Schizosaccharomyces pombe: one gene and its partners. The gene in region 3 interacts genetically with the main gene of each other region. Each region holds a gene or a part of one and is shown on either strand. Other genes may lie near its edges. The genes, in order: mcl1, swi1, hsk1 and rif1.

Evidence for each region.
Region 1: mutations in hsk1 (region 3) and mcl1 are lethal when combined (synthetic lethality), as found in Schizosaccharomyces pombe (3 studies listed by BioGRID, with this or other methods).
Region 2: mutations in hsk1 (region 3) and swi1 impair growth when combined (synthetic growth defect), as found in Schizosaccharomyces pombe (3 studies listed by BioGRID, with this or other methods).
Region 4: of hsk1 (region 3) and rif1, a mutation in one rescues a mutant of the other (synthetic rescue), as found in Schizosaccharomyces pombe (3 studies listed by BioGRID).

What each region holds. Positions count from the first base shown.
Region 1 is NC_003424.3:3,282,486-3,287,474, forward strand, and holds mcl1 (DNA polymerase alpha accessory factor Mcl1), read right to left. Parts: upstream 3,268-4,989; 5' UTR 3,261-3,267; coding exon 3,069-3,260; exon of another isoform or gene 3,024-3,068; coding exon 2,872-3,023; exon of another isoform or gene 2,814-2,871; coding exon 710-2,813; 3' UTR 519-709; downstream 1-518. Other genes in the region: SPOM_SPAPB1E7.01C (uncharacterized protein), read right to left, coding at 1-220; DNA-directed RNA polymerase III complex subunit Rpc82, read left to right, coding at 4,117-4,182, 4,262-4,989. UniProt on the Schizosaccharomyces pombe protein: Has a role in regulating DNA replication complexes. Acts as a regulator of post DNA replication initiation. Associates with chromatin during G1 and S phases of mitosis. Required for the transcriptional repression of the outer repeats of the centromeric region.
Region 2 is NC_003423.3:908,738-916,469, forward strand, and holds the start of swi1 (replication fork protection complex subunit Swi1), read right to left. Parts: upstream 6,043-7,732; 5' UTR 5,857-6,042; coding exon 4,909-5,856; intron 4,893-4,908; exon of another isoform or gene 4,834-4,892; coding exon 2,866-4,833; 3' UTR 2,789-2,865; coding exon of another isoform or gene 1-2,788. Other genes in the region: ATR checkpoint kinase Rad3, read left to right, coding at 1-2,788; TORC1 serine/threonine protein kinase Tor2, read right to left, coding at 6,534-7,732. UniProt on the Schizosaccharomyces pombe protein: Forms a fork protection complex (FPC) with swi3. FPC coordinates leading and lagging strand synthesis and moves with the replication fork. It is required for programmed fork-pausing which is necessary for mating-type switching.
Region 3 is NC_003423.3:3,196,540-3,200,815, forward strand, and holds hsk1 (Dbf4(Dfp1)-dependent protein kinase Hsk1), read right to left. Parts: upstream 2,663-4,276; 5' UTR 2,437-2,662; coding exon 2,208-2,436; exon of another isoform or gene 2,150-2,207; coding exon 1,304-2,149; exon of another isoform or gene 1,241-1,303; coding exon 792-1,240; 3' UTR 521-791; downstream 1-520. Other genes in the region: rpl2801 (60S ribosomal protein uL15), read left to right, coding at 1-398; condensin complex non-SMC subunit Cnd1, read left to right, coding at 3,599-3,713, 3,784-3,862, 3,954-4,276. UniProt on the Schizosaccharomyces pombe protein: Required for G1/S transition. Plays a role in DNA replication checkpoint signaling through regulating rad3 and cds1. Involved in the maintenance of mitotic chromosome structures during S phase through regulating the function of rad21.
Region 4 is NC_003424.3:2,764,714-2,771,246, reverse strand, and holds rif1 (telomere length regulator Rif1), read right to left. Parts: upstream 4,975-6,533; 5' UTR 4,878-4,974; coding exon 675-4,877; 3' UTR 544-674; downstream 1-543. Other genes in the region: serine/threonine protein kinase Ppk6, read left to right, coding at 1-311, 352-543; tpz1 (telomere-protecting protein), read left to right, coding at 5,814-5,927, 5,984-6,081, 6,125-6,375, 6,422-6,456, 6,495-6,533. UniProt on the Schizosaccharomyces pombe protein: Negatively regulates telomere length. Appears to play no role in transcriptional silencing of telomeric loci.

The DNA of each region.
Region 1 (4,989 bases), on a different chromosome or scaffold from region 3:
CATTTTTGGAAGTAACCCAGCTGTTTTCTGACTGGTCTTTTCTACTAGCACCCAACCCTAACCGTGGCGGCCTAGCTTGTAACGGTGGATCGTCATTTTTTTCATCGCTACTGACAGATGTATTTTCGTTTCCCAACCACGAATTGATTAAGTTTTTTGTGATGCTTATGGATGTTTGATATTTATTCAATAACACATCCGCACTCACTTTTTGTTCCATGCTAAAATTGTGTTTTCGTTTGCAGCTTGGCACTTTACAAAGTTGTACTGCACTTAGTGTCTGCAACTTTACGAACTGTAACGCACCCTAAGGCACTGAGCTTTGCAGTTTCTACATTAGATTTTATTTCATTTCAGAAAGGAAAAGAATACAAATTCCTTTGTGACTCTTTGTCATTTTAAAAAATGTTTCCACCTTTTCTTATGAATCAATTTTTTGTACCCCTGTGCAATTTCTAAATAGACTCGAAATATATGCCGAATATACTGACATATAAACATAGAGGTTATATGGTAAACAAAATGAAATGTGTTTATTAAATACAAAAATGAGAAAAAAATCAAAGTGCTAGATGCTTATATAAATGAATTTAGAAAGGAGCAAGATCGTGACAAAACTTCTGCATAGCTTTGCTTCAAACCCCTTTTGATTAGCTCAAGCTACTAATATGCAAAAAATAATGTTACATAAAAATTAAGACGTGAGGGTTTAGACGTTAGATAGTAGATTACCAATTTTTTCAGCAACATTTGTAAGGGAATGGTGGAGCGCAATCTTTTGAGCAGCAGCAATACTTGTTGTCCTTCTCAAAGTTTTTGTCAATTCATAGACACGTTCGATTCTTTCCTCGAGACAAGCCTTTTGAATAAGTTGCAACAAGGCTTTGTCAATGTTAGCTTCTAGTCTAGCAATGCTTATTTTTTCGTCCTCCGTAACATCGCCATCTCCTATGCTATCTTCCAATAAAGTCAAAAATAGTTTATTACGGAGTTGTAGTTCTTCTAAAACAGGAACAGATGTAGAAGCATCCGGATTGTTCGTATTACAAGGAATACGAAAGTCAAATTCTGTAAACATCGGACGAGGGAAATAGGGATATCGAGAGGCTCCTTTTAGCAATATACAGTGAAACTGATTATCGGCAACAGTTACAGGCCAATAAGACTCTTGCCGTGATTTGCGACGCTCCAATTCATTTGTATCTAAAACAGGGATCCACTTGGCTTGTCCTGGTATGCGCCAATGCATTAATACCAACAATACCCCAGTTGAATCGTAGATGTAAGGATCTCCAACATCCGAAAAGAAAACACTCTCTAACGTTCCTTGGGGTGGTAATGCAACCCCATCACCAGTTTGCAACATTTCATCACGAGAAATGTCTTCAATGGAATAAACAAGACGAGAATTTCCATCAGAGCTCAAACCATCGTTGGCGATGGTTATAATCGTATCCTGAAAAGATGAACAAGCTACAAATGGCAAGTGTTTACTCCTGTGAATGCTAATTGGAAAGCCTTGTCTTGAGAATACGCGAACATATCCAGCACTCGTACATACCAGTACAACGCTTGAGCTTAATGAAATTGTCACAGGACTTTCATTCTCCATGGGTAAAGCCATTGCCCATTCAGATTTACGCGACCAATCAACATGTGCTTTATAATAAATAACACCAGGTGAACTTTCCGTTGCAGGCGAAGCATACAAAGCACCTTCATGATCTAAGCATGCCATTTCAAATTTTTGGTCATCAACAAAGTGATATTTTCTATGAGTAGTTTCATCATGAAATTCAACCGTTATAGTGTTGTGTTCTGCATCTTGCTGTACAGTCCAGATAAACCCTACCAAGTTCAAACATAGATATCTTCTATTACCCTGCCATGGTGTACTTCCAGTATGAACGGGTTTATGTATTGAGGCTTGCAGTAAACGTCTTTTACTAGAACCATTCTCTATTGTTGTAGTTCTGTCGATCAACGCCTTCTGCTTTCTTTTCTTTGCAAGGTTTAAGTCGTTTTCATCAACCATATAACTATCACCATCTAGGTCCAAAGATGAATCCAATCCATCATGATTGATAAACTCATTTTCCTCGTTGGCAGAGTTCCCATCCAAATCATTGACGTTCTGACTTTGCTCATCGTCAGAACCAAAAAGATCATCAAGCTCTTTGGAAGTACGGTTTTTACTTTTTGACGAAGTCAAAGGCTTCGTAGGATCATTTTCTTCCTTCAATATTGATTTAGGAATGACATCCGGACATGAATACAAAATTCCCTGATTTGTAGTAAATGATAACACGTTTTCAAATGGCTGCCAGGCGAGTGCCACCACTGTACTATAGGGGAGCTCAACGACTACTTCATGACTTTGTGTATCCCAAATTAAAATGCCTCCTTTTTTAAATGAAGCAGCTATGTACATTCCATTACTGGACCAGGAGATATCTGTTACACCAGAATGATTCTCTTTTGGAAGAAGTTTGTACAATGGAAGCCAGTCATCAGGGGAAATAACTGATACAAAATGGTCGGTACTCGCAACTGCAAATGTCCCGTTTTTAGGATGCCAAGCCGCCTTTGAGCAAATTTCTGATTCTGCCTCTAAAGAGGCAATAGTGTTTGTTAAGAACTTGATGAGTTCACGAGTTTGGGTGTCATAAAAATACAAAATTCCATTGCAACTGGAAACTGCTAAAAAATTTCCGTTCGGGCTATAAGTTACATGTTTATTCGAAGCCTTAGCTGGACGAAGAGAGAAAATTTGTGAAGAATCAGTGGACGAAACCACTTTCACTGCTGTTTCACTATATTTGTTAGGCTGAAAACGACCAAGTAGAGCATTATACACTAAAAAAAACTTACTCACTAGCTATGGCAATCCAATTTCCATCTACTGAATATGCCACATCGCGAATAGGAAGAGTAGTACGCGCCAGCAATGTATGCTCGGTAGGAGAATCGATGGGATATACGCAGACAGTTGCATCTTCTGAACAAGTACAAAAATAATTTTCCTATATAAAAGTCATTAGCTCCAAACTTTTTTGAGGACCACTTACAGCAACTGCAATTCCTGTTATAGGATCTTGATGATTATCAATGGAGTCGGGTTCCTCATCAGAACCAACCTGAAATTTTCGGATTACTTGATTAGAACCGACCGTAAGAAGAAATTTCCCATCACGAGTATACGCTAGACGCGTCAGTCCATCTGTATGGGCATATCTAGGAACTAGCCTATTCCCTGCCATAATAGCTAGAGGAAGAGTTTGTATATGAGATTGGGACTAGTATGGCAATAGCGATACTTTCGTTAGCTAGTTACGCTATTTAATGTAAACAAACATTTAAATAAAAAATCTACCACGAAAGCACTATTGAGAAATTGCAAATGTTTGTCTACAATTTATTTTCATATGCAAGTACGATTGAAAATATGCAATCCATGCTTTTAATCATCTGCTAACAATTAGAAATTAATACTAAAGTAACTTATATGTGAGACTATAGGAATAATTTAACTTTAATCATTTCAGAGCTTTTTTTAATTACTCTGAAGTTGTATTTGATGTTCCATTAGAGCAGTTCTGTTAAAAAGTTTTGAAATGTCTGCTATAAATGTTCAAACAGCCGCACAGCAATATTCTAAATGGAGGAAAAATATGCAATTAGCTATTGTCTTTTAGTATTTTAATTAATGCTTACCATGACAAGCTATAAAACAGAATCTGCAGATAAGTCATGCTTGATTAAACCACAAAAAATCAACGACATGGAAATGGAATTGAGAAACCTAGTGGAGCCTCTCACAGGAAAATTAAAAAGAAGTTAAATAAATTAATCATACAATTAGATTTCGATCATTCATTTAATACTCGCAGTAATTATATGTATGTATTTTTTCAAAAAGTAATATGAAAATCGTTTTTGCACATCGTTAAAGTTTTATTCTGTATTAGAGTGATACACTATAAATGTTAACGCTGCTTTAACGACGCACAAAATACAGGCTATTGGCATACTCTAGGTTGTGAAATCTTTGCTTTTTTGTAGTTACGTCTGCCAAACAATTTACCATTCCAAGCAAGATTGGTAATCTGCTTGATCATGTCACAGTATGCTGTAGAACTGTGTGAGATTCTCGTAGAGGAATTTTTCGGTGATTGTTGCTCGGTAAGGATTCAATTGTATTTCTAAATCTGAAGTTGAGGTTGCAAAGTCTTTTGTATTAACCAATTTATTGTCAATTTAGGCAGTAGCTAGTGCACTTTTGAGGCATGGTCGTTTAACGATTCCCATGCTACAAAAACGGACTTCGTTGCCAGGACCAAAAATTCGACAAGCACTTGTCAGTTTAATGCAGCATCATATGGTTTTGTACGTTACGGTCATTGAAAATGTACGTGAAGTCACATATTATGAGACCCAATGGAAGGAAATTTATAACATTCTTCGCAAAGGTAAAGATGTATATTTGATATCTCAAAAATTAAACCAGGAGGCTGCCTCTGTGGTAAAATATCTTAGTACCCAAGGACGTGCACGTGTACTCGAAGTATTCAATGCTTTCGATAAAAAGGTTGATGGGAGTGATGAAGAAAGCCGTATGATGCAGAAAAATCTAACGGAATTGATTTACCAAAAGTTTTTGCTAGTAGTGCAACCGAGACATTTAATACCAGTAGGAGATCAGGAAATGCAACTCCGGATCAAGCACTTAGATCGCAGAAAGTCAGAAAACGTGTCTGAAATAAAAAAAAATAGAGAGGTTGATGATTCTGTCGCCTTGGAAATGTTAGAGCTTCGTGCAGCAGATATGTCAGAACTACAAGGACTTACCAGGAAGCCAAAGGAATCAATACCACATCCAACAAAAAGAAGGAAACGTGCTGTTGGCTCTGCTCCGTCTGTATCAACGGATTTGAATAATATATTAGACGATGATAATAGCATCCTTGTACCTGATCTATCCGCGCATGT
Region 2 (7,732 bases), 2.3 Mb from region 3:
AAATTCAGGAACATGGGACTCGGCTTTGAGTTGTTACGAAATTATTATTCAAAAGGATCCTGAAAATAAAAAGGCGAAAATCGGTTTGCTTAACAGCATGCTGCAATCGGGGCATTATGAATCTCTTGTTTTGAGTTTAGATTCTTTTATAATCAATGACAACCACGAGTATTCGAAGATGTTAAATTTGGGTATTGAAGCTTCATGGCGTTCGCTATCTATTGATTCGTTAAAAAAGTGTCTTTCAAAAAGCAACTTGGAATCTTTCGAAGCTAAATTGGGTAGCATATTTTACCAATACCTACGGAAGGATTCTTTTGCTGAATTGACGGAGCGGCTGCAACCCTTGTACGTTGATGCTGCTACAGCAATTGCAAACACAGGCGCCCATTCAGCCTATGATTGTTATGATATTTTATCTAAGCTGCACGCAATTAATGACTTTAGTAGGATTGCTGAAACTGACGGAATTGTTTCCGACAATCTTGATATTGTTCTTCGCCGTCGGCTTAGCCAAGTAGCTCCGTACGGTAAATTCAAGCACCAAATCCTGTCCACTCACTTAGTTGGCTATGAAAAATTTGAAAACACGAAGAAAACTGCTGAAATATATCTCGAGATTGCAAGAATATCTCGAAAAAATGGTCAATTTCAAAGAGCCTTCAATGCCATCCTCAAAGCAATGGATTTAGATAAACCGCTAGCAACAATAGAGCACGCACAATGGTGGTGGCATCAAGGGCAACATCGTAAAGCTATTTCTGAATTGAATTTTTCGCTTAATAACAACATGTTTGATTTGGTTGATGAGCATGAAGAAAGACCTAAAAATCGTAAAGAAACTTTAGGAAATCCACTTAAAGGAAAAGTGTTCTTGAAACTTACAAAATGGCTCGGAAAAGCTGGCCAACTGGGATTGAAGGATTTGGAGACGTATTATCATAAAGCGGTAGAGATTTACTCAGAATGTGAGAATACGCATTATTATCTTGGCCATCATCGAGTTTTAATGTATGAAGAAGAACAAAAGCTCCCAGTTAATGAACAGAGCGAACGATTTTTAAGTGGTGAGTTAGTAACTCGCATAATTAACGAATTTGGTCGATCTTTGTACTATGGTACAAATCATATATATGAAAGTATGCCAAAATTGCTCACACTGTGGCTTGATTTTGGGGCCGAAGAACTTCGCTTATCTAAAGATGACGGCGAAAAGTACTTTCGTGAACACATTATCTCTTCGAGAAAAAAATCTTTGGAACTTATGAATTCGAATGTTTGTCGCCTTTCTATGAAAATTCCTCAATACTTTTTTCTGGTTGCATTATCCCAAATGATATCCAGAGTATGCCATCCAAATAATAAAGTTTATAAAATTTTGGAACATATAATTGCAAACGTTGTAGCATCTTATCCTGGGGAGACGCTATGGCAATTAATGGCAACAATAAAATCGACTTCTCAAAAGCGCTCGCTTCGTGGAAAAAGCATTTTAAATGTTTTACATTCTAGGAAGCTTTCTATGTCTTCCAAAGTTGATATAAAAGCACTCAGTCAATCTGCAATTCTCATTACTGAAAAGTTAATCAATTTGTGCAATACAAGGATTAACAGTAAATCTGTAAAAATGAGCTTAAAGGATCATTTTCGGCTTTCTTTTGATGATCCGGTAGATTTAGTCATTCCTGCTAAATCATTTTTAGACATTACTTTACCAGCTAAAGATGCTAACAGAGCTAGTCATTATCCATTTCCAAAAACTCAGCCTACTCTGTTGAAATTTGAGGATGAGGTGGATATAATGAACTCTCTTCAAAAACCAAGAAAAGTGTACGTTAGAGGTACGGATGGCAACTTATACCCATTCTTGTGCAAACCCAAAGATGATCTTCGTAAGGATGCTAGATTGATGGAATTTAATAATCTTATTTGTAAAATATTGAGGAAAGATCAAGAAGCGAACAGAAGGAACTTGTGTATTAGAACTTATGTTGTTATTCCTTTAAATGAAGAATGCGGATTTATCGAATGGGTAAATCATACTCGTCCATTTAGAGAAATTTTGTTAAAAAGCTATAGACAGAAAAACATTCCCATATCATATCAAGAAATCAAAGTTGATTTAGACTTTGCACTGCGAAGTCCTAACCCTGGTGATATATTTGAAAAGAAAATCTTACCGAAATTTCCTCCAGTTTTTTATGAGTGGTTTGTTGAATCTTTCCCAGAACCAAATAATTGGGTTACTAGTAGACAAAACTATTGCCGAACTTTAGCAGTAATGTCAATAGTTGGCTACGTTTTGGGTTTGGGAGATCGCCATGGCGAAAACATATTGTTTGATGAATTTACAGGTGAAGCTATCCATGTCGATTTCAACTGTCTTTTTGATAAAGGTCTTACTTTTGAAAAACCTGAAAAGGTGCCGTTCAGATTAACTCATAATATGGTAGATGCAATGGGTCCGACAGGTTATGAAGGGGGTTTCAGGAAAGCTAGCGAAATAACGATGCGGCTTCTTCGCTCAAACCAAGATACATTGATGAGCGTACTAGAGTCTTTCCTACATGATCCTTTAGTCGAGTGGAATAGAAAGAAGTCGTCAAGCAAGTACCCGAATAATGAAGCAAATGAAGTTTTGGATATAATTCGCAAAAAATTTCAAGGCTTTATGCCAGGGGAGACGATACCTTTATCTATTGAAGGGCAAATTCAAGAATTGATCAAATCTGCTGTCAACCCAAAAAACCTGGTAGAAATGTACATTGGTTGGGCTGCTTATTTCTAGCATTTTACTAACAAAAATTTCAATGAACAAGCTACCCATTATTAAACTTATGATTTGAATCGAAGATATTTTATTTATTAATCCGATGAAGAATTCTCGCTGAGTTGTTCAATTTCTTGTAATTTTCCTTCCATTTCTAAATCGTCGATTCGCTTAAATAGGGCACTGGCTTTTTGTGCATTTTTCTCTCGTAAAGCAGCTTCTGATTGAAAAAAAGCTATATCTGTTTCTGAGTCATCATCCGAATCAACAATATATTTTGCAGATCGTAAATGGTTTTCCTTTTTCTTTCGAGTTGTATGGTCAATAATAGTTTCGTTAGTTTTCATCTTTTTACGTTTTCTGTCAGTAATCTTATTTAACGCTTCTCGACGATTGGCGAAAGTTATAGGATCATCTGCTTCAAATTCAATTTCTTCGTCAGATGTTTCACCCTCACTACTTGATGGTAAACGAACATTTCCTCTTTGCTTCCTCACTAATAAATCTTCGGGCTTGGTGCCTTCAAACGTCGGCGGATCATCAGTAAACCTTCTCAACAACATGGCATGCTCAACAAGTTCATCAATTATAACAGAATTTGGTAATTTCCATAGTGCTTGAACGTCTATATTGTTATCTGATTCTTCGAATCCACATAATTCTAATAATAGACGAAATTTTCCGTCTTTCAAAAGGGCCGTATTAAATGAATCTGTGTCTCCTTTCAAATTCTTCCCCATTCTTTCACCATCATTTCCACCTTCATTTATATATTTGTTCTCGTCAGCTAGCGTTATTAGCTTTCTTTCTGAAATGAGGCAATTAAGTTGAACTTTCAATTCATCTAATAAATCACTTTTGTTTTCATTTATAAGGCATGCAACAACGGCAGCCACCTTTTCCAAATGTGATAAGCCAGGCACCGTCTCGTATAACGGGCCTTTTCTCGAACCATGAATAGAGAAAAGTGGACTTTTTCCATATTCCAGATAATAAAATGTGTCGGTTAATTTTGGGAAAGGCAACTCAATAAAAAGTGCTGGTACATCTTTTAATGCATCTGAAAGCTTTCGCATATAATATACAAAAAATTGTTCAAAATCCTGTCTTGCTGAATTTGTAGTAGAAAAATAGACATGGTCATTAAACATTTTGTCCAGAACACGTAGGAAATCGAGACGATACAAATAAACATGGCATTTTTGCTTCACGAAAATGCGGTAAAAAAAGGAAATAGCCCTATGAATTTGTTTTGAATCCAGATCTTGGTAACATTGAAGGAACAGCACGAAACTATCAATACATCCATTATCACAGTACCTAGACTCATATCTGCCGAAATCAAACAGACGGTCCTCAACGGCTGCATTAGCATTAATCAAGCTGCTTTCTTCATCTTCATCCGATTCCAAGACATTGCTATCAACAGATTTCTGATTTCTCCTTCTCTTTTTCACATAGAGATATTGTTTAGCACTGCTAAATTTCTCAAGCTCCTTTAATAGCACTATAGTTAGCTCAGTTATTGCATCTAAATACCCAAAGGACTGAGTTTTAAAATGCTTTAAAGCGCTATAAACAAGTAAAAGAATTTCCTCTTGGTAAAAGATATTGCTTAGTAGATTATCGGCAATTCTTTGGTAAATTTCTGAGGAACAAAGTGTCATACTTCGAAGAGTGAAAAGTAATTGAGTCATCGAAAGCATGGATGCTTGGAAGGTGCTCCATTGTTTCATTTCAAAGGATTCTACCATTAACCTGTTGTGCATAATCAAAGCTCGTTGGTCAAAAACGGAGGCTGCTAAGCCAAAACTATAATCATTAGAGTAAATTTCTTCTGTTTTTTTTGGTTTAGACGAAAATCTCATGAATTCCAAAAAAAATGACTGAACGTATAATAATTGCATTTTATGAATTGGAAGCACACGAGGATCTTCTCTTTCCAAGTCTTTTAAGAGAGACTGAAATAATGGATTGAATCCAGCTTCCAAAAATTCGACAGCAAAGTTCCTTAATGCAGTACCTGCCTCGGTATTGATAAAGAACGATTTGTTTATGTCATCCTAATATTGTTAGAATAGAATAGTTGAATTGGAAAAAAAAATTTAAACAAACATCGTGTTTAACTAAGTACATACAAAATGTTTTCGACGTGTTCCTCGTTTTCGAAAACGCTTATGAGAGTCAAGCTCATCAAGGCCGTCGGTTTTTATATTTTGGCTAGCAATAGTAAATCTTCTGTCTTCAGTTTGAACAGAAAGCATGGTTCCAAATCTATTATGCCTCGTATGTGCATTTCGTTTCAAATAGCGATTTTGGGTCGACTCTTTGAGGAGTAAGCTATTAAGTTCGGTTTGAGAGTTAGTCAATGAGGCATCAGAGAAAAGGGCTGATGGCTTACAACCTCTGATCAAGTTGTAGACTATTTCTAATATGTAAACATCAAAATGCTCAAATTCATCGAGATTCGAGACCAGTGTGACAATCAAATCTAATATATGAGCTTTCGCAAACGAGATAATTGTTTCATTTTTTGTTTTTAATTCATCGATTTGAAGAATGTTTCGAAATAGTAACAGCACTATCCTGATTATTCCCTTGTCTCTAAGTGTTCTGGATTCTGCGGGAGTACTTAAGGGCTTTAGTAAAACAGCTAAAATGGCGGATAAAACGCTCCCCTTCTTGTAAGATAAAATTGAATTTTTATAATTTGATTGAGCTTGACGCAGATTATAGAGAACATCAACATTTTCTCTGAATGTTTCATGCTCAGTCTCCAAAGGCCATGTTAATGGTACAAGAAGCTCAACACAAGCTAAAGCGATACGCCAGTTTCTGTAATTAGTAATGTCTTTATCCCAGTCAGAGAGTATTGGACATATATCATTAGTTACCAACTGTAAGCTCGAGAGCAAAGATCGAATTTGCCAAACTTTGTACTTTTCATCGACTACTTGAAGATAGCGCTTCAGATCCTTTAGGCAAGCCAAAGCTTCATCACCAAGAACGTACACTTTTTCATCGTCTGAATAGTCAAATCCTCCAATGGCAGAAACAATGCCTTGAATCACCTCATCTAATTCCATTCAAGTTGATTTGTTAAATCAAAAGCTCTCAAGTTCCTTTTTTTTGTATTGTCGGTATGCGTCGATAAATAAACCAAATTTAAGAAATTAAATAAATTTTAATAATTAAGCGATATTAATTATGTTCATGAATAATCGTATTCTTTTAAGATAAGTAAATTTGATTGTAGATACGTGAAGAGGGGTGGTGACAGTAAACAATGAATAATAAATTTTTAAAACAATATTTAACTTTTCAAAATAACTTGGATTTTTAAAAAAATGTGTGTAAAGTAAAACACTTTATAATTTAAATCGCATTAAAATGGCATTCAGTATTATATTATAAAATTCGATAATATGGACTCAACAAAACGAATTTGCTACCTAACTTGTACAATGCATAATTAGAATTTAGTTTCAATAATTTTCACAATTTCAGATGTAGAAATTTAGAGTTTATTATTTTCAGAATGATTAAGCAGCAAATCTTTAATAACAATATAAAGAGATGCATTCTCTACTACAAAATTCTAAAAATTCTGCGTCAAATTCAACATTTCCTCTATTTTGTAAAATTGTAAAACAACGTAATAAATTGTTACAGGACTCATTCATAAAGACTATTTACACTTTATTTAATATAGAATATATATATGATGCGGCAGAAAAGCAATTTGAACGTTTGGGACTGTCACCTACCAGAAACTACACCAGCCAATATAGCACAAGCATAGGTTCTCTATAGAGGTTGCTTGTAAAATCAGCTTCTCTACTTGACTTGGTACATCCAATTGCTGTTGGGGTTTGAAATCCCGACCAGTAAGTTTATTGGACACACGATTAAGAACGGTTATAGCTCTTTGATTGAGTATCTCGGGTTTTTGACGTTCTTCAAGTGTAATTCCTTCTTCGTTTAAGCGTTTCCGGTGTAAACCATCAATTGTCTCACCGAGAAGTGTATTAGGTTCGTTAGATTGCTTTTCATCGATAGAAGGTGAATATGCAGGAGCAAGGCGCCAGTTAATAAGAGGATCGTAAACGAAAGCTTCTAAAACTGCCATCACAGACTCCTTATTAGTACGAAGAACTCGCATAACATGTTCGCATGTTATCCGGAACGTCCCCTCTATACCACTAACTTCCATTGCGTTAACAAGCATTCGCGTAAGGCGGAAAGGAATCTTCTCGGGAAACTTTTCTCGATGCATTGCTACTTCAAAACAATCTCCAAAATCGATATGGATGATATTACCTGTATACCTGTCCAGCATCAAATTGGAAGGATGACGATCGCCCAAACCTAAGATGTACCCTACCATTGACATCACCGCAAGAGTACGAGAATAGTTAGTTCGCCTATTAAGCCAAGCTTCTGAGCTACGACTCTTCAGCCATAAAACGCGGTATAAATCCTGCCCCGTAGTACTAAGTAGGGCATATTCAAAGACTTCAACTTTCTGAAGGAGAGTGAGACGATCGTAATCTGGAGCCATCTGAATGATCAACCTATGTTCTATGTTGAGTAAAATCTTTCTGCTTTCTCTGTAGTCACGAATTAAGACATGCAAAGTATCGCTATCCAAAACCCAGCCTAAAAGGCCTGAATCCGGTGATAAAGGAATCACTGGATACCTTTGGATTGAAAGTAAGCGCTTAAAAGTTTCCGGGTCAGCTAGTAACAGATTGTTACAAAGCCCAAATAGCTGCATAACACGTTCATCTTGTCTGATGTCCTCGTGACCCTTTAAAACATATTGATAATCTTTTCCATCACTGCCTTTAATACTCAGTCGTCTCGGACGTTGCTTAGATGTTATCACGTTGAATGTAGGGTAAAACTTTACAATTCTTATAACAGGTTTCCCGCTAACGTATGTTCCCGGAACAGCTAACT
Region 3 (4,276 bases):
CTGGCCATGGTCGTATTGGTAAGCACAGGAAGCATCCCGGTGGTCGTGGTAAGGCCGGTGGTTTGCAACACCTCCGTAGTCACTTTGATAAGTATCACCCTGGTTACTTTGGTAAGGTTGGTATGCGTCGATTCCACCTCATGAAGAATCCTTTGTGGCGTCCTACTGTCAATTTGGATCGTCTTTGGACCTTGGTTCCCAACGAAACTCGTGAAAAGTATCTTGGTAAAAACACGGAGGTTGCCCCCGTTATTAATGTCTTACAATCTGGTTACGGTAAGGTTTTGGGTAAGGGTCGTCTGCCTGATACTCCCGTCATCATTCAAACACGTTATGTCTCTCGTCGTGCTGAAGAGAAGATCAAGCAAGCTGGTGGTGTCGTTGAGCTCATTGCCTAAGAACATCCTGTGATTGCTTAGTGGCTTAATAAAATTAATTTTGTTTGATTCGTTTATCCGTCTATACTTTGATGGAATATAATTGTTGTATGATCAATCTGTAGTGTTATTCTCTGGTCAAATAGTGTATAGAGATTTTATTTCAATTAAGTCAGTAAGTGAAAAAGCCTCACCTGCTGATATGTGTTCGTTATGCTATGGTAAAATTAATTATGGATTAATGTTTGTAACTGAAAATGCACCCCAAAAATTCCATAGGGTATTTTCGATGTATAGACATACAATAATGCTTTCACTTTAATACCCAATGATTACAGTAATGCTTATACTGTAAATGAAAATGTATGCACAAATATAAGTGATTGCTTGATGAGAAATTGCCAGCAAATCTTCTCAAGCTCCATCCTGCAAAGCATCATTTGGTAAAATTTCATCAATACTTCGCTTCCGCTTTGATAAAGAAGTAGGTTCATCTGTTTCTTCCTGCTCTTTAAAATCAAGGATATGGGATAAGTGCTTAGCAGTTAAGTCTTCGTCTTTCTCGAAAGAGGTTTCTCCAAAGCTATTATCAAAAGCTGTATCGTCATCTTTCTTTTCGTAAGCTAAATTATCGAGATACAAGAAATCGTGATCCAATGCTTCCTCAGCTGAAATCCTTTTGTTACAGTCAAGTTCAAGACATTTCTCTAAAAAATCCAGGCACAATCGCTCTTCTTGGCTTGGTTTATGACGAAGCTTTTCTTTGTATATACTGGCTGAACCACAACTGGCCCACAAAATAAGTTTCCTAAAGTTTACTCTTTTTTCTGTAAGCGTGCTTACATTTGTCTCAAACGTACAACCTGGCAGGTTAGCGAAAAAAATCAACACAAACACTTCCGTAAGGGACATTAGATCGTTCTTACCGTGTAAAGCAGCACATTGGCGCATTTCGCTTTTTCCAAATATACATGCTATCTCCATGAGTGCATCCACGTCGTCCTTTGAATTAAACATGGGGAAACGTTTAGTAAGGAAAGATAACAAAATAACCCCAGCAGACCAAATATCAACTTTGGGTGATTGAGATGAGCATTTAAACAATACTTCAGGTGCTCGAAATCCTCGAGTTCCGGCTCTATTGGCCCGTTTGCTTGGTCGAGTATCGTTTTTTATGTATCCAAGAGATGTTTCCTGCGCAATCGAAAAATCATGTGCTAATTCGGCCGCATTTGAATTAGTGCACCGGCAAGAATGTGATTGTTGTCTTCCATCATAACGCTCTGCTAATCCAAAGTCAACTAAGACACCATGCTTGGTACGAACATCGAAGAGAAAGTTACTAGGCTTAATGTCTCTATGAATGATTCCCAAAGTCTGAGTTTGCTGCATAGCTTGAAAAAGGCATCGAAAATAAATGCTCATATCGCGATAGGAAAAAGTGCTATAATATTGACGAAAGTCAGTATGCTCGTAGTAGGGTAAAACTACGAGTACCTGATCTTCATTTCTTAAAGCAGTTATTAGCGGGGCTATTACCGACGATCCCCTTAATAAATATAGGATTTCTAATTCATTGTATATTCTAGCAGGACTACTTGTCGCGTAAATTTTTTTTATAGCAACGTACTTCGGTTTCCGGCTGTCTTCATTAACAGGAATTTTTTCTTTTCCAAAAGAAGATTCCTTTAACACTTCACTTTGAATGTCCCAATCATTAATATACCTCCCATAATGTAGGTCTTCCGCTTTATATACACTGGAGAACGTACCTAAACGAATTAGCAAGATAGTTTCAAAACAGTACTAAAAACGGTAATTGAAGTTTACCTTCTCCAATTTTTTCAATTAGCCGATAGTTCTCTTGTAGCTCTACGAACGTCCTTGTGATATTTTCAATTTCTTCGCGGTCTCGTGCAGGGATATCTTGAATCATTTCTTGAGATTTGTTTTCGTTTACATTTTCATCGTCCACCTCAGTGATTTCACATTCAGAATCAATATCTGTTTGTTGTTCATGAGTTACTTTAGGTGATAGTGTGATATGGGCCTCTGCCATGTTAACGGTTTAACTCATATATTTTTAAACCAAATAATAACTTAAAAAAAATTAAAAGAGTCGTCAATTAAATGGTAAAATGCTGCCAAGGGAAGGAACCAAGAAAAAACAAATTTTCACGTATTTTAAACCTTCAAACCGAACACGCGAACGAATACTAAGATTCAAAAAAATCAAGTTTTTAAAATGTGTAACACAAACTCATTCCATGAATATAAGAATTTGCAGATTCCAGGTTCAACACCAGTTGTACATTGTTAAGCAAAATGCTCTTCTAATGAGGGACATTGTTACTTCCAAACAAGAAAAATACATTTTTAATCCAACTTTTGTTTAATAAAAAAAGTACTCTGCTATAATATTTGTATACTTATGGAAAAGATTAAGATTTCATGTCCTTTATCTTTTTTTAAATTTAGGACTTGCTTTAAAAAACATAAATCCTTTGGGCTCTTGTTATTGTTAATAACCACCATAAACAACTAGAATTGACTATTTATTGGACATTGAGAGTAAATATGATTAACCATGGTATTCAAACACGTTTTTTTTTTCTGTTATTTAAAAATAAATAAAAAAATTATCCTGAATTTGAAATTTATTCCTAGTTAAACTACGATAGGTTTTCTGTTTAGTTTATTGTGTATTACTTTAAAATTCTAAAAACAGCACAAATGCTTACCTCGTCAAAATTTGCATTCATAATAATTTTGAAAATCACCTTGAAAATGATACATGCGCCAAAATAAATTATAAGTTTTTATATCAGAAATACAGCTCAAGAAAGAATTTACAACTAACGTTATTCAAAAAATATATTAAATTCTTTTCAAAACATTTAATTAGAAGTACTAAAAAGAACAATAGCTTTTACGTGGCACGCTCAATAAAAGTTAATTAAAATATTATTTTTTAATGTAAACAAATGAGTTAATAAAAGCACGTTCTATATCCTTAAAGTGGTTAGCAACAATTAAGTCTAGCTCCTATTTTATATTTTGACTAACCGTAGCTCTTTTTTGTTAGTAAGAAAGTATAAATGGACCCCCACACAGGACATATAGGTGGGGTTATTGTTTACAAGGACTACTAGAATGTAGTACGCCAAATCCATCTTTTATTTCATTCGTAACATAGAAAGATTCGGCTTTCAGTGGCCTCAATGTCGTTGGATCTTCTTTCTAGATTAAAGAAATACATTCATGATGAAGAAAATTCCGACTTGGACTCGATTTATGCTGAATGTGAAAATGCTGGATTGACAGCCGTGGTTAACGGTATGGACATTTGGGTTTTTAAAAAAATTGAAAATGATCGATTCCACAATAACTAACAATGAAAAATTAGACGTCATTGATACCCTTTTATTAGGAACGAGTTCTTGTTTCGACGAGGATTGCTTGGAAAAACTCTTTGCTATATGTTCGTAAGTAGTTGTTATTTTGTGTTATTCAAATAGAAGGAAGCCATTTGGTTTACTATATATCAATTTTACCAAACTAACAATAATGGTTTAGACACTTTGCTGACCTCTCTTCCTCTGTAAGGAATAAAGTATATGATTTACTCACGAGTAATATCAGCTCTGAATCCGCTATTCTTGAAGATATGATTTCCGCAAATGCTACTGATTTTACTGTACCTCAAACGAATTTAGAAACTACAGGCATTGCATTTCAGCTCACGGTCAATTCCCTTTCTTCCTCAAATCAACTTTCAGTTATTCGGTCATCCACTAATACTGTTAAGGGAAGAAAAAAAAATCCAACTACTAACTCTAACTGGAATGGTATCTCACATGTAAATGCTTTGTTAGATGCAATCATAACATTATTTCAAA
Region 4 (6,533 bases), on a different chromosome or scaffold from region 3:
CTGAGAAAGAGAGCAAGGCTATATTTTTCCAAATCGCATTAGCTGTTGCCCATCTGCATTCTTTTGACATAATCCACCGAGACATCAAAGATGAAAACGTAATTCTAGAAGGAAACGGATGTGCAAGACTCATTGATTTCGGTAGTTCGAGCCTTACGAAAAACGGGCCTTTTGATACATTTCGGGGTACAGTTGGTTTTGCTGCTCCGGAGCTACTAAGAGGTGAAAAATATCTCGGTAAAGAACAGGATATTTGGGCTTTGGGTATTTTATTATACACGATAGTTTATCGGGAAAACCCTTATTATAACGTAAGAGAATTATTATAATGGTATGCTAACTAATTATTAGATCGAAGAGATTTTGGACGCCAAACTTAGAATTCCTTTTGAACTATCGAAAGATAATGTCGATTTAATTTGTCGAATGCTTGATAGAAATGTGCATGATCGCATTACTATTGAAGAGACGTTACAACATCATTGGTTTGATGATATAAGATATTTGGACACATCACATATACGCATACCTCTATCCTCTTGAAACTAGAAAGTTCTTATCTATATACATATGTTATATATTAAATGCCAGTATGAACCCCATTAATAAGATTGATTTATGACTAAATTGACCCCAATGCCGGTCCGTAATTCCTGTACCCATGAGTTGAATAATCAAGCAATTCTAGATAAAATAGCTCTCTGTAATCTCATCAACAAATCACTAAGCTTCTGAACTTCCTCCGATTTTAAATCTTGTATATTCTTTTCGATTTCAAAAGTGGCTTCCGTCATTGATTGTATAATGTCTTGAGGACCAGATTTATCAAACTCTACAGATGAAACTTTGTTGGATTCATTGTTTGTATCAATGGACCCTGAAAGTAAGCTCGAAAATTGTCGTTTCTTGGAATTTTCAAATCCGTTAACTGCAGTTGTTTCATTCTCGGTTTTTTCCTCTGGTATTTCAGTTTGGCTCAAACTACTTTCATTAGTAAGTACACAAGCAGATTCGTCCAGATTCTGTCCCTGTTCTGAAATCCCATGTCGTTCTATGACTTCCACATTTTCCAAGGTTGCGGACACTTCGCTAATTGCAACTTCCTTATTCACGTTGGAAGATTGGCTCTTACGTCCAAGTTTTCGTTTCTTTCTAGTACTGCGAGGAGTAGATAGAACACCTTCACGAGAGGCAGTTTGCCCTTCTGGTTCTATCTGAGAATTTTCTTTTGAACATTCATCATTATTTGCTGTAGTGAAGGAGTTATTGACACTCGGCGTTCCATTATTATCAGCTTTCCTATTGCTTTGGCTTGAAATATTTTCCTTTAAAAGAGCGTTAGAGTTGTCTGCCACATCTATAGCTTTATCAGGTACAATTGCTTCATCTCTTAAAGAAGTATCGTCTACAATTACTTCCTTATTGACCTTGCCAGACGGTGTTGTCAAAGACTCTTCCATATCAGTAGCTTCATTTTTTGTTTCATCAATTTTTTTAACATCACCTTTTTGTCTTTTATTTTTCTTAGACGCTGGCATTTTTCCTGCTTTCCCTTTTGAGCTGTCGTCTAATTCTTGCACAGAAGCAATCTGTATGTAATTGTCGTTATTAGGTTTACCAGGACCAGAGAATTCGGTAGTCTTTTCTCCTTTATCTTGTGAAGAAGCATAAGGACCATTCTTAGAGACAGATCGCAACTCATCAACTCCTTTTAATATATCCGACATCTTTTCGCTCGATTGATGGTTGGCTTGCTTACCACCAGGACATAGTGACTGAAACGGTAAAAGAATAATATAAGTTTTGCTCAGATACGATATTGTTTTTTGTAGTTCAATAGGGTATTCTTCCGATTCAAATTTACCAAAAACTTGATTCCAAAACTTGATAGCAGCAAGGACCACCTCTTTTGAAATACTTTTAAGACCTGATGTCAACAGCGGAGAAAGAGATTCTAAAATATTAGAAGCTGTAGCAGTGGAATTTAGTAGCAGCTGCAAAATTAATATACAAAAGTTGGTACATGATTTTTGTAATGTGGTAGATTTCTCTAATTGTGGAAAAGCGTTCATAAGGAAGCAAGGTATCAAACCTTTAGACAACTTACAAATAGTATGAAAAATGAACTCTTTGGGTATTTTCTTTATAAATTCAGAAAGCTCATGAAGATAGCGACACTGTAGATCTACTTGATCGGAACTTGATAACCTTTGTAACAGTGTATTATACAATTCGACCATGTGGTTGTAACTATCCAGGTGTTGTCTGATATTTTCAGGTAATGTTACAGGTGGTAGCTCCTTTGTGCAACTTTCAAAAGTAGAAACTTTCATCAAAGATATGGCAAATGAATAAACTTTATTTGCTTCAAAACTTAATACATCATCGAGGATTGTAGTAAAAGGATCAACGACAAAAGGAAAAACGCTACCACATCCTTCAAATTTATAAATAGCGGTAAAGTATTGTTGAAGAAGATTGTTTACACTACCAGCATCACTAATACTGCAAAACTTCACATTCCAACTTAATAGTTTAAGTAATATGGATCGCTCCTCTTCTGAAAATCCTTCTTCTACTGAATTATTTCCATTCCGACTTTTAAGTTCTGAAAGCAGAGCCTCCGAGGTCAACCTAGATACTTCATGGGAAACGAGAACTCTCGCAAGCACTAAAGTTCCATCGTCACTCAAAGGAGATACACAATCCCAAAGTAACATAAGTTTTAAACCAAATCTTAAATGATATTCTTCAATGGATGACAGAATACTGCTGTAAGCGGCATGTACAGTCGAAAATAATGTGCCGTTTGTTAAAAGAGCGAGAGAGTGGAGCAAGTAAATTAAGGGGCTAATTGGGACATGATCATAACTATCGATTGCTTTTGTCTGATCTATTAAAACAAGCTGATTATCGGAAACCAGATATGATGCTTCGACGAATGTATTAATACCAAAAGCTTCAATGGCAGACTTAACCATTAATGCAAACCTCGAGACTCTTTCCACATACAGTTCATCTTTACGAATAGATTTCGAATATAAAAATTTGTGAAGCGATGAGCATATGCAGCATATAGCTCGGCCAGTCTCTACAGACCTTTTAATTTCCTTCTGTCCAGCACTGGCCAAACACTTTATATAAGTACTCCAAACAGACGAACTTTGTTCATAACTAAGACCTCGTATATGCTGTTTACGAGCAGGCGTAGTGGTTTTAACAGTATGATCTGGTTTGGCTAATAAAAGTAAAGTCTTGACCGGTTCAATTGTCCGACTACAATTAGCACGAACCCAAACAGGATTGAGCTTTGGAAGTTCTTTTGCTTCTACCGATTCACGGCAAACCAAGCGGTCATCTTTCCAAACTCCATTAGACAGCGTGTTAAAGAGAGCCAAAAGTATGTTAGAAGACTCAAAAATAGTAACCTCGTTTTTCAAGGCACACTTTTCAAGTATGTTGACAATAACTGAATCCCACAGTAAAGAGAGCATGGCATCAGAGATTCCGGGCCTCAAACATGCATATATTAAAGCAATCAAAGTAGTCATTGCTGCATTCTTTACTGTTGGCAAATTCCTTGAACCTAGAACCATGGAAATAGGCTGACACAAAAGAGTTAACCGCTTGGTAGCTTGTGTGAGGGTTTCAGAAAGAGAAAACTCATGAATTAAACGGATCCAAGATGTTTGGGCTGCACACTTAGTTAAAGGATTCATGCTGTTAAAACAAAGCTGAATAATTTTAAGCCATGTGTTAAAGTATTCCCATGAGGAAATTCTTGCACCTCCCAAAACTGATATGATGGCAGCCCAGGCATGAGCCACATAGACACCGTCGTCTTCTTCAATGACAAGCTTCTCAAATTGCTCTGTCATGATAAGAACAAATGCAGTTCCCTTAATATCACTTCTAAAATTAGCGAGGATAGTCCGTGCGACTAACTTGTCGTGATACAAATGTTTGCTCAGGTCCAAAGCAAGTAATAACGCTTTCTCACGGATAGGCCTTGAGGCATCAACTAAACAAGCTAGCAGATAAGGAGCCCAATCAACTACACGACGCGAAAATTCTAGTGGAAATTGGCTTAAAATTTTTGTTAAGACAGCTAATCGCTCCTGACCTATAACAAGGGAAGGGAATGAAATGTTAAAACACACGTCTAAAATACGATTACATAAAGGGTGAATGGAAAGAGGGCATTTTTGACAAGAAAGAAGATGCAAATGCTGAGCCGCGAGTGCTTTAGTTAACTTTGGTCCTTCTAAAAAATTCAGCGACTGCTCAATGAAGACTGTGGCAGTTTCTGGTTGAATGTGAGAAGAAATAGTTGGATGCCAAAGAAGTATGCTGAGAAGTTTGTTTGCTTGAGTATTCAATTGAAAATCGGGACTACCCTCTGAATTGTTAGAGCATCTATCCGATAATAAAAAATTGCAAAGTTGATTTAAAAGGGGGAATATTGGATCCTCGGGAAGACTTGGTGTATAGATTTTCAAAAAGGAAGACAGTTTTGAGTATGTTTCGATTCGAGCAGATTTTTCAACATGTTGAAGATTTTCTATTCCGGAACAAAACGAGGATTGTAGTTCTTGCAAGGAAGTCTCTTTTTCAGATTCATTTCCTTCAAAGGATTGAAAATTTGGTTGTTTGATACTAGATAGAGGTGTTGAAGTTTTTAAGATACCTCGTTTGGGTAAACCGAAAGATGGTCGATTTCCACCGGGGGAATTTTCTAGTTCACTACTAAAATTTACCTTCTTCTTACGAATCGAACTACTAGGTGAGCTGCTCAGTCCTACAGCTTGTGATGATGGGGTTGAAGGTTCTTGTAGAAGCATATTTGAAGCCTCCTTCACAGCAATTTCTTTTGTCATCGCAACATCAGCTGTTATGCTTTTAAAAATGTTTTAGCTTCATGGGACCGATCGCACCAAAAAATTGCACAAATAAGTTTATTTACAAAATGGTGGTAGTAGGCTAAATGTGAGTTGAGTTATAGATGTAAACACTGTTCAGCACGGTACCAAGCTATTGAGATCTTTAACAACACTGAAAAAAGCTAATTTATTCTTTCAATTATGAAATTTTTTTTACTTATTTCTGTACACCAATTTAGACTTAGCAGCAGCAAATTGAAGTAGTATAAAGAATAAAATTGAAAAGCAGATTGGTTGTATTGTTGATCTTTTATAAATAAATGTCCGGTAATTGCTTCAATCTTTAGTATGTTTGATATCCGCACATTTAAAATGCGTGGTTAAAATTCTTGTAGTAATAAGTGCAGTAACTAAATAACTCAGTACATTCTTAAGCCAATTCATTCCACCCTTTATTAACTTATCACCAAAATTTTATAAAACAGTTCTAAGCAAAAGAAAATTCTTGCCTAATTTTTCAAGTTTTGTCGTCTGGGGTAGAAGGTTACAGCAATTCCTTTGAAGTAAGTCAATTTTGTTAATGGGAGATACAGCAACCTGCTATTATTTGATTCTTCTCTTATAAATTTTTGGATGAACCATTACTAAATACATGAGTAGTAACTTCTAAAGATTTGGAATACTGAAAAGTTGTTATCCAAAATCTAGATTGAAAGTGCTTTTGACAGTAACTAAACTAGAAGAACCAAGTCCTTGGAGTTGATGATAATATTTCAATTATTTTGTTTTGAGGAAATGATGAATGCAGTGTTCTGCTGACCTTGCTTTCAAGAAAAAAAGTAGACGATTAAATATCAACAGACTTCAGTCAGCACTGTTACTTATTAAAAAAAGTTGATTTTTATATAAAAGTTAGCTGCGTTAAACAGTGCAATGTCAAATTGCTTAAAACATCCTTGGCTTGAGAATGGACTATTGAATTTGATCAAAAACGCAGATGTCCTTCCGATACGTGTATTTAAATGTCAGCCTTTACAAATATTTGAGGTATTATACTTTATCTTCTATCTTTCGAACCAATTCTGACTATATTTAAACTTCAGTATATACGATACGAACATCCAATTCGATGCAAGCTATCCGATACAGAGTTTTACATTGAAGCAGAGTTTTCGTCTCAGAGCATTTCGGACTTAAATAAGTATGTTTCAATTTATCAGCACAATATTGATTGTGATTTTTAGTTTTACTGAAAAAAGGATAACATCTTTAAGAGGAGGTATCGTGACATTGGGCAATTTTTTAATTCACTTAATTCCTAGTCAATCAGGCATTATTCCTTGGATACAAGTAGAGTCATTTAATTTTCAGGGTTGTGAGGGTGCTGTTTTTGGAAACCCTAAAGCTATTACAACTTCTGCATTGTTTAATGCATTGCTTCAATCACCTTATCTTGCTGCGCTTGCCAATGAATTTAACCGATCAATTAAAGAAGGTATTATTTGTAATTTTACACGATCTATAATTGACCCTTTTTCTAGGATCGTCTTACCAGGAAGCCTCCCTTAGTCAACAGGTATTTTGTAAATTTTAGCCAAGTTTACTAATGTCAAGGAAAAACCTAATGACAATACTAGTAATTCTAGAGATATC